Linked DNA regions of Rattus norvegicus. The protein of the gene in region 2 purifies or fractionates together with the protein of the main gene of each other region. This does not show direct contact. Links are inferred from orthologs where the notes say so. Each region holds a gene or a part of one and is shown on either strand. Other genes may lie near its edges. The genes, in order: Rpp25l and Rpp30.

What was found.
Region 1: the proteins of Rpp30 (region 2) and Rpp25l purify together in Homo sapiens (co-immunoprecipitation; 3 studies listed by BioGRID and IntAct, counting the BioPlex papers as one, with this or other methods). This does not show direct contact. The link is inferred for Rattus norvegicus from reciprocal best matches to the Homo sapiens genes RPP30 and RPP25L.

The regions. Positions count from the first base shown.
Region 1 is NC_086023.1:61,673,749-61,677,214, forward strand, and holds Rpp25l (ribonuclease P protein subunit p25-like protein), read right to left. Parts: upstream 2,074-3,466; 5' UTR 2,026-2,073; exon of another isoform or gene 1,804-2,025; intron 1,421-1,803; 5' UTR 1,384-1,420; coding exon 892-1,383; 3' UTR 673-891; downstream 1-672. UniProt on the Homo sapiens protein: May be a component of ribonuclease P or MRP.
Region 2 is NC_086019.1:243,197,236-243,201,679, reverse strand, and holds the start of Rpp30 (ribonuclease P protein subunit p30), read right to left. Parts: upstream 2,968-4,444; 5' UTR 2,960-2,967; coding exon 2,878-2,959; intron 1,593-2,877; coding exon 1,537-1,592; intron 1-1,536. UniProt on the Homo sapiens protein: Component of ribonuclease P, a ribonucleoprotein complex that generates mature tRNA molecules by cleaving their 5'-ends. Also a component of the MRP ribonuclease complex, which cleaves pre-rRNA sequences.

The DNA.
Region 1 (3,466 bases), on a different chromosome or scaffold from region 2:
AAAGAGAGGGAGAAAAACAGCAATGGAGAAAAGGCAAGAATGCCATCTGAAGAAACATGTGGGAATGAGGTCTGCTCTCAGGGAAACAGCGCGTGTGTAAGCTTGAGCTTCCTTTTGTGTAGCACCGGGTGCTCAGGTGGAGGCTGAATGGCAGATGTGTGCACCTCGTTCTAAGCTTCACAGCTCTAACGAGGTAAGCACCTCACCCCCCCACTTTTTGGATGAGAGCGCTAAGACCCAGAGAAGGAACTTTTATCCAAAACCACAGAGCAGTAACTTGGGAGTAGGAGAACCAGGATCAAAACCCTGAACCGCCAAGGCTGAGTTCATGATCCCACTACACTAAAACATACGCATGCCACAGATGGGACAACTGGCTGAGTCCCAACCCAGCTTAAAGCAGGCGGCAAGAAGCCATCCAGGTTACTACTGCTAGAACTTTCATCGAGACCAGATCCGTCATCCACTGCCAGTCTCTCTGTATCCTTCCTGCTTCCAGCCTAGGAGCTCCTGGGATAAAGCCAAGCCCCACTCACACGCAGGCCAAACAAAGCGGCACAACCTTTATTTCCCTTCCCTAGTCAGAAAAGGCAAGTCAGACATACTATAGAGGCAGAGTAAGCTCTCCTCACGCAGTCTTTAACTCAGCACTGACCGGACCCACACCAGTGCTTTTTTTTTTTTTTTTTTTTTTTTGGTTCTTTTTTTCGGAGCTGGGGACCGAACCCAGGGCCTTGCGCTCACACCAGTGCTTTTAACAGTTCCACCCCTCATTCCAGAGAGGAGGGGAAGTTCTTCTGTGGACTCTGCTGGCATGGTGAGCAATCACAAGCACTTCTTAGAGAAGGCACAGATACTCAGGTCTAGAGTACAGTCAGGTCCAGCAGATCGTCAGGACCGGGTGTCCCGAGCCCTCCTTCGGGGTCTGGGACCACAGCTGGAACTAGGTATGGAGCCCAGGCCAGGAGGTGCACCTGGGGGTTGGTAGCCACATTCACTGGGGTCCAAGGGGTCCCGACTAAGCAGTACCCACACTGCAGGCACATGGCGTCGGACTGTGAGGGGGTCCAGGCCCGTGTCCGGTGAAGTTGGGACCCAGCTGTCCTCAGTTTGCAGGAAGCGAAGCTTGGTGAGCTGGTGTAGGCCCGGAACCCGCCGTTTGACAATCTCTGCACAGCTGACGGCCTTTCCAGCGGCCCGGCCGGAGCCTGAGAACACCACGTGCCTTGTGCTTCCTCCTTCCAAACGAGCCAGTGCCAGCCCTAGTAGGTTTCGGATTTTGCTCCCATCTCGGACCCGCATTTCCAGCGTGTCGGGAGGTAGCTGGGGCATTGGTGATGAGGCTGGGAGCTCTACAGAGCCAGCCCTCCGGTAGTGCTCCATTCTGCTTTCGAGCCTTTGGTGACTCTCTGGATATACACTGCGGGAAAGAGTCAGATGAGTGGCAGGAACATGATCACATGGACCATCCTCCATCACTCCCTCCAGAATGTGGTCCTGTTCCTCACCACGGAGAGTGCTTTTACACCCTCACCCCAGCACTTCAAGGCTGGGGCCGAGAATTATCTACCCCTTTCTAAATACATCCACGAGTCTCTAACATTGACAAAAACAAATTCCCAAAAACTAGGCTCTCTGGGGTAGGGTTGTGCTTCATCATCTCAAGCTCTCCGGGGCTAGGTCCCAGACCCCAGGCCCACAACTCTCTAAGAACAGGCAGGTTCTCCTCACTGGGCTTCAAGGACCCTGGGGCACAGCCATGAACCCTCACAAAGTACTCCCCAAAGAAAGGATCGGTCTCACCTACGGTGTGTGGGGGGCAGAGAAGACCTCACTCCCAGATTAACTGAGTAGGCTAGCTTGAACCGGGCCACTCGGGAACTCGCGGGTGAGGACTCCCCGGAGAGCTGCTCGGGCCACTCGTGAGCGGTTGGCGGACTCCCCGATCGTGGGCCGCTGTCCCAGGCAGCAGGTATCCCCCTTTCCCTAACTCTGAGTCCCCACTCCCTGGGATTTGGCTCTTACCACCGTTGCCAGAAGACGCTCAACCCTCACCGGGTAGCCAAGATGGCGTGCAGACCGAGAGCGCGCGGAGCCGCGGGGCCGCGCACGCAGGGGGCGGGACCTGAGGGAAACCCGGGTTGCTGTTCGACTCAGAGGAGCTGATGCTGTCACCTGGGCGGCCTCGAGCGTCAGCGCAGTGGTCCGCGGTACACACCGGCACCTGCAGAAGGCCCACCTGAGAGAGCAACAGCTATCGGAGGAGTCCTGAAGAATGCAGATTTGTGCCTTTAAAGGATGGATGGCACAGCAGCGAAGGCGACGTCCGTGGTGGGTACAAGCAGGCAAGACCCTTAGTTACGGAGTTCTGAGCTTTGTTCTCATCCTGGGACACTGATCAACCCCGGCGGTTTTCAGTAAGGTCTAAGCCATAGCTTGTGCATAACTCATTGGCCACGGAGGATTGGTTTATAAGCATGGCGGATCCGGTAGTGGGGGCAACAGATACTGGTGACCCTGGGAAGGGGCTGTACTCAACATCATCATAGCGCTTCGGCCACGGGGGCGTGCGCACAGAGCCTAGTCCAGTATCCAGGGTAAAAATAGGCCCTCCGATATTTGTCCAATGAGGTGTTAACCACCGAAACAGCAAGAATTGAGAAGAGGTGGTAGAAACTTGATAGAAACTTGTATGAAGTTTTGGGGACGCGCGGGTGACTATTCGGGTAGAATAGTTTAGGATGACTGCCAGTTTCAGATCCGTTTGGATACGCTGCATTTTGGATGCCAGCAACTCTACAGGTTGGGCTGAAGCAACTCTACAGGCAGTTGAAGGAGCTAAGGCACTCCCTCAGACCACAAGAGGGCAGCATACACCGGGTGGAGCGCGGTACTGTTTCTCCCTGTTTTCTCATCAATGTACCCTGATTTTCCTCCTCTCAAGATCCTAAAATTTCTTACATCTTGGGCTCCTCCTCTGGCTACTGGTATTATGTAGACACAAGGCAGTGCAGCCTTGGCTCTGAACGTCCATTCCTGCTCCTCCAGGACCACCTGACATGCAGGCCTACCTGGTCTTCCCCAAACCCTGTGTAGAGATTAGCTGTCCCTGCCTATGCCCTCCTTACTTACCATAGGATGTGATATTTAGAGGGTAGTTGGCAAATATAAGATAAATAAATATACAATGCCCCGCTGTATAGTCAAATGATGAGAGAACTCTATCTCTCAGCAAACCAGATCAGGGGTATAGCTCCTGGTCCCATCCCATGGGGTTGGCAGCTCTCCTCTTCACCACCCAGATCCTCACAGCCAAGCCCATCCTGTATCAGCAAGCCAACACATTGCTTTAGTGGTCTCTATGGTTTATTGTCACTGAAATAAATACATTTGACAGGGAGTACAAATCATGACCCTAAGGTAAAGCTGACCTCTGACCTCAGAGCCCCCAGTTGAACACAGACAG
Region 2 (4,444 bases):
AAACACTTTATCTCTCAGGGGGAAAAAAAAACAAAGAAAGCTAACCTCTGGTATTCAAATGTACTAAATAGCTTTACTCTTTCTTTCTTCTTTCTTAAAGAATTATTTATTTATTTTATGTATATGAGTTCACTGTAGCTGTCTTCAGACACCCCAGAAGAGGGCTTCAGGCCCCATTATAGATGGTTGTGAGCCACCATGTGGTTTCTGGGAATTGAACTCAGGACCGCTGGTAGAGCAGTCAGTGCTCTTTTTTTTTTTTTTTCCGGAGCTGGGGATCGAACCCAGGGCCTTGCGCTTCCTAGGCAAGCGCTCTACCACTGAGCTAAATCCCCAACCCCGCAGTCAGTGCTCTTAACCACTGAACCATCTCTCCAGCCTATTCTCCTTTTTTAAGGCAAGAAACTAAAGGGCAGATGCTAAGAACACCAGAGGACATGAGTAAAGGCCAGACTGTGGTGGTGCATGCCTACATGCTTTTAATTCCAGCACTCACAGAGACAGGAGGATCTCTGAGTTCAAGGTAAGTCTGGTCTCGAGAGTAAGTTCCAGGATAGCCAGGGCTATACCCAGAAACCCTGTTAGGACAAACAAAACAACCCTCAAAACAAAAAGCAATCTTGAAGACAGAAATGACATATATACAGTTGTTTGCTTAAAAAGAAATATACGTACTGACAGTCTATCAAAGAGAGAAATCAATGAGTTCATGAGACCATGGCAACAAAGTAAACAAGAAGATATACTATGCTTTCAGTTCATTTAAGAGCAATGTACTTTTAAACATCTTTGAAGGTAACATAGTTAATATGAGCTCAAAGTCAGGATTCCTTAGGCTGCATTAGAGTTTCTCATAAACAAAACAAAAGTCATTTGTATGAATATATGTTCGATTGTTCAACTGCTAAAGTAAGTAAATGCAGGGGGTTTTAAGGAATACAGCTGGTACACTGCCTTCCAAAAAGCACAAGGTGAGTGCACAAGGCCTTCCCTATAGGCCTGTAATCTCAGCACTGGGGTAGTAGAGGCAGGAGGTCATCCCTGGCAACAAAGTGAGTTCCAGACCAGAGACATGCAAGACCTTCCCTTAATAAAAAAGAAACACGCTTAGATGATTGATCCCTGACTGCCAATTAGACTGAATTAGAAATGAACATGGAAACATATCTCTGTATATTTCTATAATGGTGTTTCCACCCTGAATGGGAGCTGTGCTACATCATGGGTTGGGGGCCTGAGCGAGCGAACTAAAAGGGACAATGTGAGCAGAACCCCAGCATTCATCTCTTTCTGCTTCCTGACTGAGGAGAAACTGTGACCAGCCATCTCATGCCCCTACTGCCACGATGGGCTGTACCTTCAGAGTATAAGCAAAATAAACCCCTCCTTAAGTTGCTTTTGCAGGTATGTGGTCATAGCAACAAGAAAAGTAACTAGTACTTATACTTGTTTCTAGTTCATATTCCCAACTCCAGACATGAATATTTAGAAATACTTGTATTTAGTAACCAATTAACCCAAGAAAGTCTCCTTTACCCGTTTCTTTTCCTTAAAGTCAACAATGTGATTGATGGCAACAACTGAGTATCCCACTGAAAAATAGAAAAATAGGTTATTTAAAAAATATTCTTTCTTGTTCACAGTGATCATACTGATATGAGATTCAAGAGTATGGGATGAGGCTAGGGATGTAGCTAAGTGTTAAAATGCTTGCTTAGCATACGCAAAATCCTGGACGCAATTCTAAGACCTAGACAATAAGGGGGCGGGGCAGAAGGCAGATCTGAGCCCTACTGTTTATTGTTACTTAAGGTGGAGTTTCAGGTTCTTCATCTGTCACATGATGGTAACAGCAGACAGGAATTTCAAGTGTCATGAAAATGATGTGAAACAGCCCCAGCGTTTTAGAAGAGTACACATATTTGGCTGTGACATTTAGAAGCCAGGAACATATTTAGGCTGTGGTTTATGTTCACACAATGTTAAAAACTCAGATTTATATGTCTTTCTGTCACCTTTGACATCATTCATTCACTTCTTCTGCGATACCCTTTCTATTTCCTCTTTCCTAGGGAGCAAAGGAGGGATGACTCCCTCACACCTCTTTTGAGGTACTACTCTCTCTACACTGAGACAAGGAACACTACAGGCCTGCCTTACCATCACAACAGTTAGTGTACTGTTTGTGATACGTGCCCTCTCCCCAATGGATTTAAATCACGACTCTTATCTATTAAGTTGTCCAAATACCGACAGGATGATAGGGTATTGATATTTAAAGATAATGCATAGTAATGACAAAAACAAAAATCAAGTAACAAAAAGCAAAAAACGGTCGTTCCTCTTATCAGGCAGCCCAATAACTCCCTGCTTTCCTTCCTCTACAAGGGTTTTGAGAATCTATTATTTGGCAAGCCCTATGCCAGGTGAGAGCTCCCATGATCAATGCTCATCCTCAAGGAACTTATAATGCTCTAGAAAAATAAGGTAACACCCTTTCCATTCTCTAAGCTTCCACAGCAGTTCCTGCCCATGACCCAGCTTTCTGTATTTGACAGACGTCGTGTGACTCAAAAAGAGCCGGCTTAGGAGTGCAGTCCGTTTCTATCATTTATCAGCTCGTAGGTCCTATGCTAATCTCTCCACCCCCTGGGCCTCTGTTCTCTCCCTCTGCACGAATGACTGGGCAAACACAAGTAACAACAGTTTTGTCAAGAGCCTCTGAGTTTCTCACGCAGGGGATCCGGGTGATACTGCAGCTATAATCTGCCTCTAGAGACGTCAGGCAGATCCCACGCGAGACCCGAATAGCGCCTGAAAAAAACTACCAAACAAAGCTGGATGGTAGGGAGGACAACGCGAAGCCAGAAGACTCACGGTGAGCAGCGGTCTCCACGAGTCCGCGCAGAGCCTTCAGGTCTGAGCCCGCTCTTAGATCCAAATCTGCGAACGCCGCCATGCTGACATCCCAAGAGAACCCGCGCGCAAGTCTGCACAGCCGCTGTGTTGCCCCTCAGGCATGCTGGGAGTTTAGGTTGTTCCTTGGGCATCCTGGGATTTGTAGTTTTCCCTTCTCAGTCAGCAGAGACTTTCCTATCCCCCTAGAGCCCGCCAAAGTTAGTATGCTGATCTGAAATACATAGTCTCAAAAGCAGATAAACTGAACAAAAAATGAAGAGACATTGAAAGTTGTTTTTCTTTCCTGTTTCCACAGTACATTCCATTCTTTGAAAATGGCCGCAAAGGGTTTTTTGAAGTACTTGGTCTGTGGCTAAAGATTATCTAAACTCTTTGAGCTTTGACAATTCCTTACAGCCAACATCTACAACCACAAGATGGCAGAGTGATCTCAAAGATGATGGCTTATCGCCAGCATTCCCTTAGCGAGAGGACTGACAGGGAGGGGCAAAAATAAAAACATGTTTTACAATTTTTCATGAGAAATATAAAAATATCATTTGGTGTTTCTGCTTTAAAATGGACTCTTAAAAAACAAACTCTTCAATATTGACAGATCAATTATTCACCAACCTAAGATGGTGGCATGATTTTCAACCTACTTGACATAGAGGGCCAGTCCATTACCCCTCTTCATTCAGTCTTCGTTCCAGCATGCGAACCCTTTGCGCATTACTAATAAGCAGCTCCTACCTTGTGCAACTCAATAGGACTTCTGAACTGCTGGTCTCTCAAAGAAGAAAAGTCCACTGATCATGAGCTTGTCCATTGGGATAATACCAAAGTGCTGAAAGGTGAAGCATTTTCAGTTTCTGTACTGATCACAAACCATAGGGAGTCTTCTCTCTCTGATCACACTACTGTAACGATCTCTAGTTTCTTACAAATTTCTGAAAGATGATGATGACAACGACGACGACGACCATGATGATGATCATGTGGAGGAGGAGGAGGAGGGGGAGGGGGAGGGGGAGGGGGAGGAGGAGGGGGAGGAAGAGGAGGAGGAGGAGGAGGAGGAGGAGGAGGAGGAGGAGGAGGAGGGGGAGGCAGAGGCAGTATTATTAGTAGTCCAGGGTAGACTTGAATTCACAATCTTCTTGGCTCAGTATCCTTGGTTCTGGGATTACAGCCGAGCACAGCTGCACCTATTTTTTGATTAATTTTCAAAAATGATTGTTTCCAATACTTTTTATTTCCCCAGAGCAAAACAACAACCAAATAACTTCTGCAACTAGAGCAAGGCCATACAAAACAAACTCTTGCTTTTTTTCATCAGAGTGTCCAGTTCTAACCTTTATAGTAGTAGAGAGGTGTCTCTATACAGGATCGCAAAATCTAGATTGGTCCATAGAATGGCCATTGTGTAGAGGATCTAGATAAGATAGAATTTTAGTTATTTGATGCTAAGATAAGATTCGGGGGGGACAGAATTCTTTGAAAGTCATGGTGATGTTACTATGGACTTCACCTTTTTAGATTCCCCTTG